Linked DNA regions of Nothobranchius furzeri. The protein of the gene in region 1 interacts with the protein of each later gene in a biochemical or structural test. Links are inferred from orthologs where the notes say so. Each region holds a gene or a part of one and is shown on either strand. Other genes may lie near its edges. The genes, in order: ifih1 and trim65.

Evidence for each region.
Region 2: of the proteins of ifih1 (region 1) and trim65, one has a biochemical effect on the other in vitro, tested with the Homo sapiens proteins (2 studies listed by BioGRID, with this or other methods). The link is inferred for Nothobranchius furzeri from reciprocal best matches to the Homo sapiens genes IFIH1 and TRIM65.

Annotation. Positions count from the first base shown.
Region 1 is NC_091754.1:19,531,309-19,535,636, forward strand, and holds the start of ifih1 (interferon-induced helicase C domain-containing protein 1), read right to left. Parts: upstream 2,983-4,328; 5' UTR 2,936-2,982; intron 2,863-2,935; 5' UTR 2,853-2,862; coding exon 2,361-2,852; intron 2,240-2,360; coding exon 2,065-2,239; intron 1,879-2,064; coding exon 1,780-1,878; intron 1,401-1,779; coding exon 1,350-1,400; intron 1-1,349.
Region 2 is NC_091756.1:21,648,148-21,652,565, reverse strand, and holds the start of trim65 (E3 ubiquitin-protein ligase TRIM65), read right to left. Parts: upstream 3,016-4,418; 5' UTR 2,968-3,015; coding exon 2,961-2,967; exon of another isoform or gene 2,946-2,960; intron 2,833-2,945; exon of another isoform or gene 2,697-2,832; intron 2,600-2,696; coding exon 2,148-2,599; intron 1,287-2,147; coding exon 1,191-1,286; intron 1,098-1,190; coding exon 867-1,097; intron 1-866. UniProt on the Homo sapiens protein: E3 ubiquitin ligase that plays a role in several processes including innate immnity, autophagy or inflammation.

The DNA.
Region 1 (4,328 bases):
CTTCATAGCTTATTTAATGAGTTAGCTCATGTTAGCGTTAGCTCACTGTTAGCGCTAGCAACAGCATGCTGCAGAAGGGTTCTTTCCTCCGGATGCCATTCCGCTTTCAAACAGAAGGAATCACATCGCCCCCATGCTGGAACAGTTGCATTGGCTGCCTGCTGTTTACAGGATCCAATTCAAAGTTCTTTTCACTTAAAAGTCCTCAATAAACAAGCACCGCAACCCCCGTCTGTACAGCTAAACCGGCATGCCCCAACAAGATCCCTACCTTCTGCATTTGCTGTTCTCCCATATAAATCATGTGATGAACGGGCTTTGCTGCTCTGAAATGATGGAACGCTCTTCCTCTGTCTGTCTATCCGACTCCCTCGCTAGCATGTTTTAACTCTGCCCTGAAAAATCACCATTTTAAAATGGCTTTGGGCCATTAATCTACCTTGACTGTGGGATACTCAACCCAGTAGTACGCCGCATGGTTGAGGTTGTTTGTATGTCTTTAACATGGACAGTTTTCCCCCTCATTGCTTATTTAAATGAGGTTTTACTATTTATTGTTTGTTATGTGTTTTAATCTTTTTCTCTGTTTTGACTCGTTACCCTTCCAGTTCAGCACTTTGGTAGGCTGCCATGCTATTTTAAATGTGCTTTATAAATACATTTGACTTTGACTTTCAACCAATAGGAGAAGCAGAAAACGTATAAAGTGTTGCTTTGAATGTAAGAGTAATATAAATGTACTTTTAACATTCCAACACATAAAAATATTTATTATTATTTAAATTAAATCAACAGTTTCAGTGGAACCAGCTGACATAACTCTGTCAAACAAATTTAACTTCTTAGGAGTGTACTTGTGTCTTTATGGTTTTCCGGCAACATTCCCAAAACCCGGTTGGTCCAAAAATACTTTAAAGACAGAGGAAAAGCATTCTTGTGTGATTGACAGGAGATCAGATCTTCTAACCTCTCCTTCGGTCTCCCCTAAGGAGCTGGAAAGGGAATGAACTTATGACGTAAAAGCCCAGAGGTGTTGTGGAGGGCTGGACTTCACAGATTCCCCTAAAGATCCATTAAAATGGATTCACCATGTGGTTTTCATTTGACGCGCCAACATATTCCGCCCTCTACGACCTCTCTGCGGTTCCTCGGTTAACACATGGAACTTATTTATTGATGCTATAGAAATGTTCCAACTAATTTCATTCTGAACAAACACTATCTTGCATTTTCCTGGAACAAGAGCAAAGTTTTTGCAAGTAGTTTAGTGTGGATAAACAAACAGATTTTCTTTTATTACTAAGTTTGGGGGTCTTAATGCCATGAAATGGAGAGTGAATGAATCCCACCTGGAGGCAAGCCATCTATGCTTTTGGACGGTTCAGCACTTGCATACAGACCTGAAACATAAACCAAGTTTAGTTCAAATAAACTCAAGTGGCTGAATTTTAAACTTTATTCTGGGCTCTGCATGCTGCTATATACAGCTATGTAACAAAACGCGAACCCCCACCTGCCCTACTAAACTTGGTGCTGTCTGTTCAAAAAATACATTTGTATTCATTCTTAATGTTTTAATCAGACACAGGCTGATCCTAAAATATCCAACAAGGCAGTACCACGGGATACTTTAGCGTGATTTCTGCACAACAGAAGCAGCTGGAGATCAATCTTTAAATACATGCTAAACTAAATTGTGTGTCTTCTGCCCTCTGGTGGAAGATGATAATACTGAAAATGGACAAAATCAACTATTATTATTATTATTATTATTATAACCTGTTGAGTCATTATCAGGCTCCTCTGTCACACTGATCTCCATAGACACTGTGTTGTCACAGCTCACTGCTTCCTGACCGGAAGCTGCACCTGAATGACCTGCAAGTCCATAGTTAAAGATGGTATGAGTATATTAAGACATAAACTTTAACAAAAGACAACAATAGAACTATCTGACATTATAAAAAATGTGAATAGCTATTGATACTGATTGCTTAGATGAATTAAAGATGCCAAAAGTGTGCAAAAAAATTGTCTCGTGATCAATGAGTGCTCCAGTCTCACCCTGCTGCTCACACCAATGTGGGTCTCCGGTCAGTTCTCTAAGTAGGGGATAGTGTTCTGTTTTTTTCAGAACTTGTAGAAATGTGGAGAACCATCCAGGTGGGCGTCTCACGATTCTCCTCAGAAGTTCCCCGGCCCCACGTCCGGGTCCTTGAGTATCAATTTCAGCTAAAACCTTGATGTAAGTTTAGACACAATAAGTGGATTTATTCACCTGAACAGAATCCAAGACTGCGTTCTGCTGCCATCTAGTGGCCAAAGAGATAAATGCTACTCAGACAACTGAATGGACTTACCTTGTCGTTGTCGTCCTGGCCGAGCAGCCCCAGAGAGAAACACTCACAGCAAACGTCAGCTGTCTTCATTTGAACAAGACTTGGAGCCAGTAACCTCACAAGTGCTACACAGTAGTCATTCTCTTCCTCTTCCTCGGGTTTAGGAGAGCCTTCCAAGACCATAGCAGCGTATTTCGAATCTCCATGTATTAAAGCGTCCACGAAGGCCCTGAACCAGCCTTCAGGGTGTGGTTTCTTAAGGACAACGTCAATAAGTTGGTTCGCAGCAGATGCATCACCCTCTGTCTTCAGCTTCTGCAAAATCCGCTCCTTATCTTCATGTGAAATAAAATATAAATGGTTCAGCACCGGCCCCACTGATATCTTTTCCTTCAGTCTATGTCTGAAGGTTTTAATGAGCTCCTCTTGCTGTTCGTCCTTGTCAGGCTCCATGATCCGGAGTCGCTGTCTTAAGTTTTCAGCGAGCTGCTCTTCACCCCTGTCAGGCTCCATGATCCCTCACCTGTCCGAGAACAACACACCTACAGTCATGAAGAGGTTTAAAGACACGGGGAACGCCTTAAATGGTCACTTACCGCCCTCGTGTTTTCCAGGAAAACAGCTGTTTTGTTTCACTTTCGTTTGAGCAGAAATCAAAACCAAAATATGCCACTAGGTGGCACTGTTGCAACACAATATTTTTACAAGTCCCAGAAAATCTGAATCTCACACTTCTGTAAATGCAAATCTACTTTTGTATCATTAGGGCTTTTCTATTTAAGTGCAGAACATTTTCTGTTATACTGCTTAAATTATTTCTTCCATTGATTTTCCCATTCCCTGTAAATACTCTGCAATTTGGTTTCATTTTTTTATTTCTTAAAACATGTAAATATTCAATATTTCTATGTTTATTTATTTTATTTTAAAAGTATGTCTGCATTATGCTTTCTTTTTTTTTGCTCTTTATTCTTTGTTTTTTATTCTCCCTTTTGGCTCTGTTGTATAGTAACACAATAAAGGACCCTTGATGTGAGTGGAAGTGTCTAAATATAGATGTTGGCCCTATAAAGGGTTAATGCTTAGTAGTGCACTTAGTAATGTTAGAAAGGGACCCTTATTGTAATGTGTTACCAATGTAATTGCTGCTGCGACAGCTGTGTTGTCAGTCGTTTCCAAATCTTTCTGCAAACAGTGAATGCTGTTTACACAGATCAGGAGGAAAATAAGCTTTCTCTACGGTGCAATTCCCCCAAAAACCTGGTTGTAGAACACATTACAAATTATGTTGAACTTTCATGTCATCAGTTTCAGGAAAAAAAATCTTTTGACGATGTTTAAAGAGCAAGTCATCCCCTACGAGAAACTTACTTCACTCCCACTTCAAGTTTGAAAAATGCAACAAATGCTGTTGCCTGGCAGACTGAGAGGGCGGAGCCGCTAACAAATACACCCACACAGGCTCACAATGGCATTGTGACATCATAATGTACCAGCTAACATCAATACAGTGCAGAGTTTTTACCTGACAACGGCACAACACTGCCAGTTTTAGGCAGAATATTTAAATTTTAACTGAGATGCACTGAAGTGCCAAATTATTGACGACACGTGTCTGCAGCACGATTAGACACTCCTTTATTTAGCTTATCAGCAAAAAAAAGTTTATTTGGGGGTGACTTGCTCTTTAAAGTTTGTCTTCTGCCCCACTTCACTTCAACTACACTGTAAAAACGTGGCTCCAGTTTGTTTAGTCTATCTTACATTTCAGTTTAGACCTTCAAATTCCTGTTCAGAGTCATTCTTTATGCCTTACGTAGTCCAAAACCTCTCATCTCAATTCTTTTCCATACATTTAAAGGTTCATATCACATTATATATCATTTATCACTTGATTAATTGCTCTAAAAGTCATTGTTTTGATTGCGTTATGACATGTACACACATAATAATCCCAGTAAAGGCCATACAATCATCTCAATGTTATTA
Region 2 (4,418 bases), on another chromosome or scaffold:
GCCTGTGTGGAGTTAGCATGTTCTCCCCACGCCTGTGTGGAGTTAGCATGTTCTCCCCACGCCTGTGTGGAGTTAGTATGTTCTCCCCACGCCTGAGTGGAGTTAGCATGTTCTGCCAACACTTGTGTGGAGTTAGCATGTTCTCCCCATGCCTGTGTGGAGTTAGCAAGTTCTCCCCATGCCTGTGTGGAGTTAGCATGTTCTCCCCACGCCTGTGTGGAGTTAGCATGTTCTCCCCACGCCTGTGTGGAGTTAGTATGTTCTCCCCAAGCCTGTGTGGAGTTAGCATGTTCTGCCAACACTTGTGTGGAGTTAGCATGTTCTCCCCATGCCTGTGTGGAGTTAGCATGTTCTCCCCACGCCTGTGTGGAGTTAGCATGTTCTGCCCATGTTCTAAAGTGAACCCTTTCATCACCTCCAGCTGACATCTGACAAACAAACGATCACAGAGTGATTTCATATTCCTCACTAATGGGAGGGTCCAAAGGTTTACATACTTATTCACATTTTCCAGAAAATAACAATTACTCAAAGATTTTAGATTGCAATCAGACTTTTATGTTCTTACTGAAAACAATAATAAATACACAGGGTGTCCCACGCCTCTCATCTGGACTCAGACACCAGCTAGGACGTTAAAGTCACCACTGAAGACTTTACATGCAGTGTTTATGTAACATCTCGGTTTCTTATCATGCTGCCTTAAGGGCTTTTTAAGTATGCATTCATTCTTTATTGACTCTAAAATACTCACAGAAGGACTTCTGGTCCAAAACAACATCAGCAGACCTGTACAGAACCCTGCTCTCAGTCAGGGGGACCGGGTTTAAAGGACTCTGGTCATATGTGAAGACGGAGGTACACACCCTAATGAAGTCGGTGTCAGATAGGGTGCTCAGAGCTGCTATCTGGACCTGGCTCTCTTTGAGAATCTGGGAGTTCTCCATGAGCTGGGCCAGACGCGCCTCTGCCTCACTGATGGCGGTCTCCTTCTGCTCCAGAAGGAACAGCTCTGTGGCCTCCTGCTTCTCACTCAGGGTTTTTATCAAGGTGGAGAACTTCAGCTTCATCCAGGATGAAGTCTGCTCAAGGGACACCTATGGGTGGAGAATCACATGTCTGCTTTGCTGTGTTCTGATTCCAGTTTCAAGCCGGTTCTAGGTCACGTCAGCAGAAAGCAGAAGGTTCACCTTAGCGTGGTTGATGTTCTCAGCCAGGTCGCTGATGCTCTTCTGTGTCTCCTCCAGGAGCTTCTGCACCTCCTTCCCTTTACTGTTCAGCAGCAGCTGTAATGGAAACTGGGTTTTAGGAAGAGACCGTGACATTACCGTACCGTGAAAAATGATTTTTCATCTTATGGATTTCTGACTTTAAGTTTTGGTCGCCTAAAATTTTCAGATAGGCAAATGAAAATGTCTATATCAAACAAAGATTTCACTTATTAGGAAGCAGTAATCCCAGCCAACCCGGTCCCGTGTGGAAGCGTTCTGGCCTCATTTAGAAAGCAGAGTTTAGTTTCAGAGGCCACTCTCACATCAAGTAAGCTAAAAGATTTTAAAAATCAGCACATTGTGTCCTTTTTAAAGGAACCTCTGGTGACCAAACACATCTGGATGTTCTCAAAGACTTCTGGGTAGGACTGATGAGACCAGAGCAGCAACATCTGGAAGGTGAGCATCCCACTCTGGAATCAAACACTAAAGCATGGTGGTGGTAGTGTGATGGTCTGAGGCTGCTCTGCTGCTTCAGGACCTGGACCACCCGCTGCACCTGATGGAACCATGAATTCTGTTCTCTAGCAGAACATCCGGGAGACTGTCTGACCTTTGACCTGAAACAGCCCTTTCCTTCTGTTGTGGCAGAACTCAAATAAGAAGAGGGGAACAAAACTCCTCAGCAGTGATGGGAAAGACTTGCTACCAGTTCTCACCAACACTGGAACCAGTCGGTTTAGGGGATAATTACTTTTCGCTTTGGTCCAGGCTGGTTCGGATACATCCGTAATCTTTATTAACATTACCTCAGGTTACCTTTGATGAAATAGATTTGCAAAATCATGTATGTGATAAACTCAAAAACAGGAGAAAAGTGTGAGACAATGTTGATAATAGCTCTGAATGACTTGTTTGTGTAATCTATTACTATACCTTTTGATTTTCCCTCTCCACCTCCAGTGACTCCTTCTGGTGGTTCTTGCATTCTGAGATGCTGCATTCAGGGCACACAGGCTTCTTGTCTTGTTTGCAGTATTGAACCAGGGGCTTCTTGTGTCGATCACACAGCTGCATGGCTTTTGCCCCATCGCCTCCCCTCCCCTGAGGCTCTCTGCAGGAGGGACCGGTGCTGATTGCAGCCTCCGTCAGGACCGACAGGGACACGTTACGCTTCAGGATGGGCCTGGTGGGGAACTCCTCGTTGCAGATGGGACACTGGGGTCCGATGTCAGACTTGCTCTTGGTGTCCCAGTGAAGGGTGATGCAGTTCTTACAGAAGGTGTGACCACAGGGAATGGTGACAGGGACTTTGAAGCGGTCCAAGCATATGGCACAGGTTAGATTTGAATTCTGAGACTCCATGTTTGCAGAAGAAGCAGAAATTTCTGCAGAAAAAAGGGCAAAAACTTTGATTATTTGATAGCTGTTGGACAATCACAATAAACAGGCGAGATTAGTTAGTACTGCACTGATAGTACTGACACCAAAAGCCTTTATTTCCCAGAACATTCCTATTATCGTAGAGCCAGTGGACACGAAACTAAAACCAAGTAATAATTTACACGGTGAGAGAGAGACGGCCAGCTAGCTAACGTTAGCCTACATAAACATGTTGGCCAGAATTCCTTCCGGTAGCGAATATAAAGTCGGATAAAAATGTTAAAACGGTTCAACTTCACATTCACGCCTGACCACAAGGATATAACACAAGTACACTACAATAACACTCACCACTTCAATACATACCATACATTCATGTCAAAAATGCGTAAGCGTGCGTCATGACGACGTACGCAAACATGGCGCCTTCAGGGGCTGTCGTAAAAAACAAAGACGAGAAAAATGATTTTTTAAACAGAACTTTAATGTGTTCAATAGTCACTGAACCGGGATAATCCATACGTGCAGTTATGATCACAACAGCAATGCTGGTGAATTTGTTCCTCTGATGCTTTTAACTTTATAAAATTTTCTACTCCTACTGATGAGTGTCAATCACCTCCAGTCCTCACGTTAGTCTCAGAGGTTTGTGGACTAATATACGTATTTAAAGAGCAAGTCACCCCCAAACCAACTTTTTATTTGCTGATAAACAACATGAATGAGTGTCTAATCGTGCTGCAGACATGTGTAGTAAATAATTTGGAACTTCAGTGCATTTTAGTTAAATTTTAAATATTCTGCCTAAAACTGTCAGTGTTGTGCTGTCGTCAGGTAAAAACTGCACTGTATTTGAATTTAAATCAGCCACCGCTATTGGCTAAGAGGTATGCTACGATGTAAACTGGTACATTATGATGTCACAATGCCATTGTAAGCCTGTGTGTTTGTGTATTTGTTAGCAGCTCCGCCCTCTCGGTCTGCCAGGCAACATTTGTTGCATTTTTTCAAACATTAAGTGGGAGTGAAGTAAGTCTCTTGTAGGGGGTGCTATTTTAAAGAGCAAGTCACTCCAAATCAACATTTTTTTTGTTGATAAACTATATAAATGGGTTTCTGATTGTGCTGCAGCCACGTGTCGTCAATAATTCGGCATTTTAGTTCATCTTAGTTAAAATTTAAAAATTCTCCTTAAAACTGTCAGCGATGCACCGTCTACATTTGAATTTAAATCTGCCATCGCTATTGGCTAAGAAGTACACTATGATGTTAGATGGTACATTATGATGTCACAATGTCGTGAGTGTGTGTATTTGTTAGCGGCTCCACCCTCTCGGTCTGCTAGGCAACAGCATTTGTTGCATTTTCCAAACAGGAAGTGGGAGTGGAGTAAGAATCTGGTAGGGGGTGACTTGCTCTTTAAACGAAAGCCCTCATAACTGTTTTAGATTCTATGATTTATTTTACTTCTAGATAATTCTTGCACGAACCCCCCCCCCCCCCACACACACACACACACACACACAAACATGCAAGTATTGTACTGATGCCTTGTAGACACTGACAAGTGTTAACATTAAAGACATGAAAGCCCCCATGCCTTTACAGCTGTTGTGATATAATTAATCACTACAAATATGTATTTTGATGAGCAGTGGGTAATTATATACCTACTTATTTGAATCTCATGTAAATGTTGTATGTTAAATTCTAATATGTCATAATTTTTCTTTTTCTCTCTTCTTTTTTTCTAATGTTTATGTTTATTTATTTGGCAGATGCTTTTATCCAAAGCAACATACACATTTTAACCTGTAGGGCATG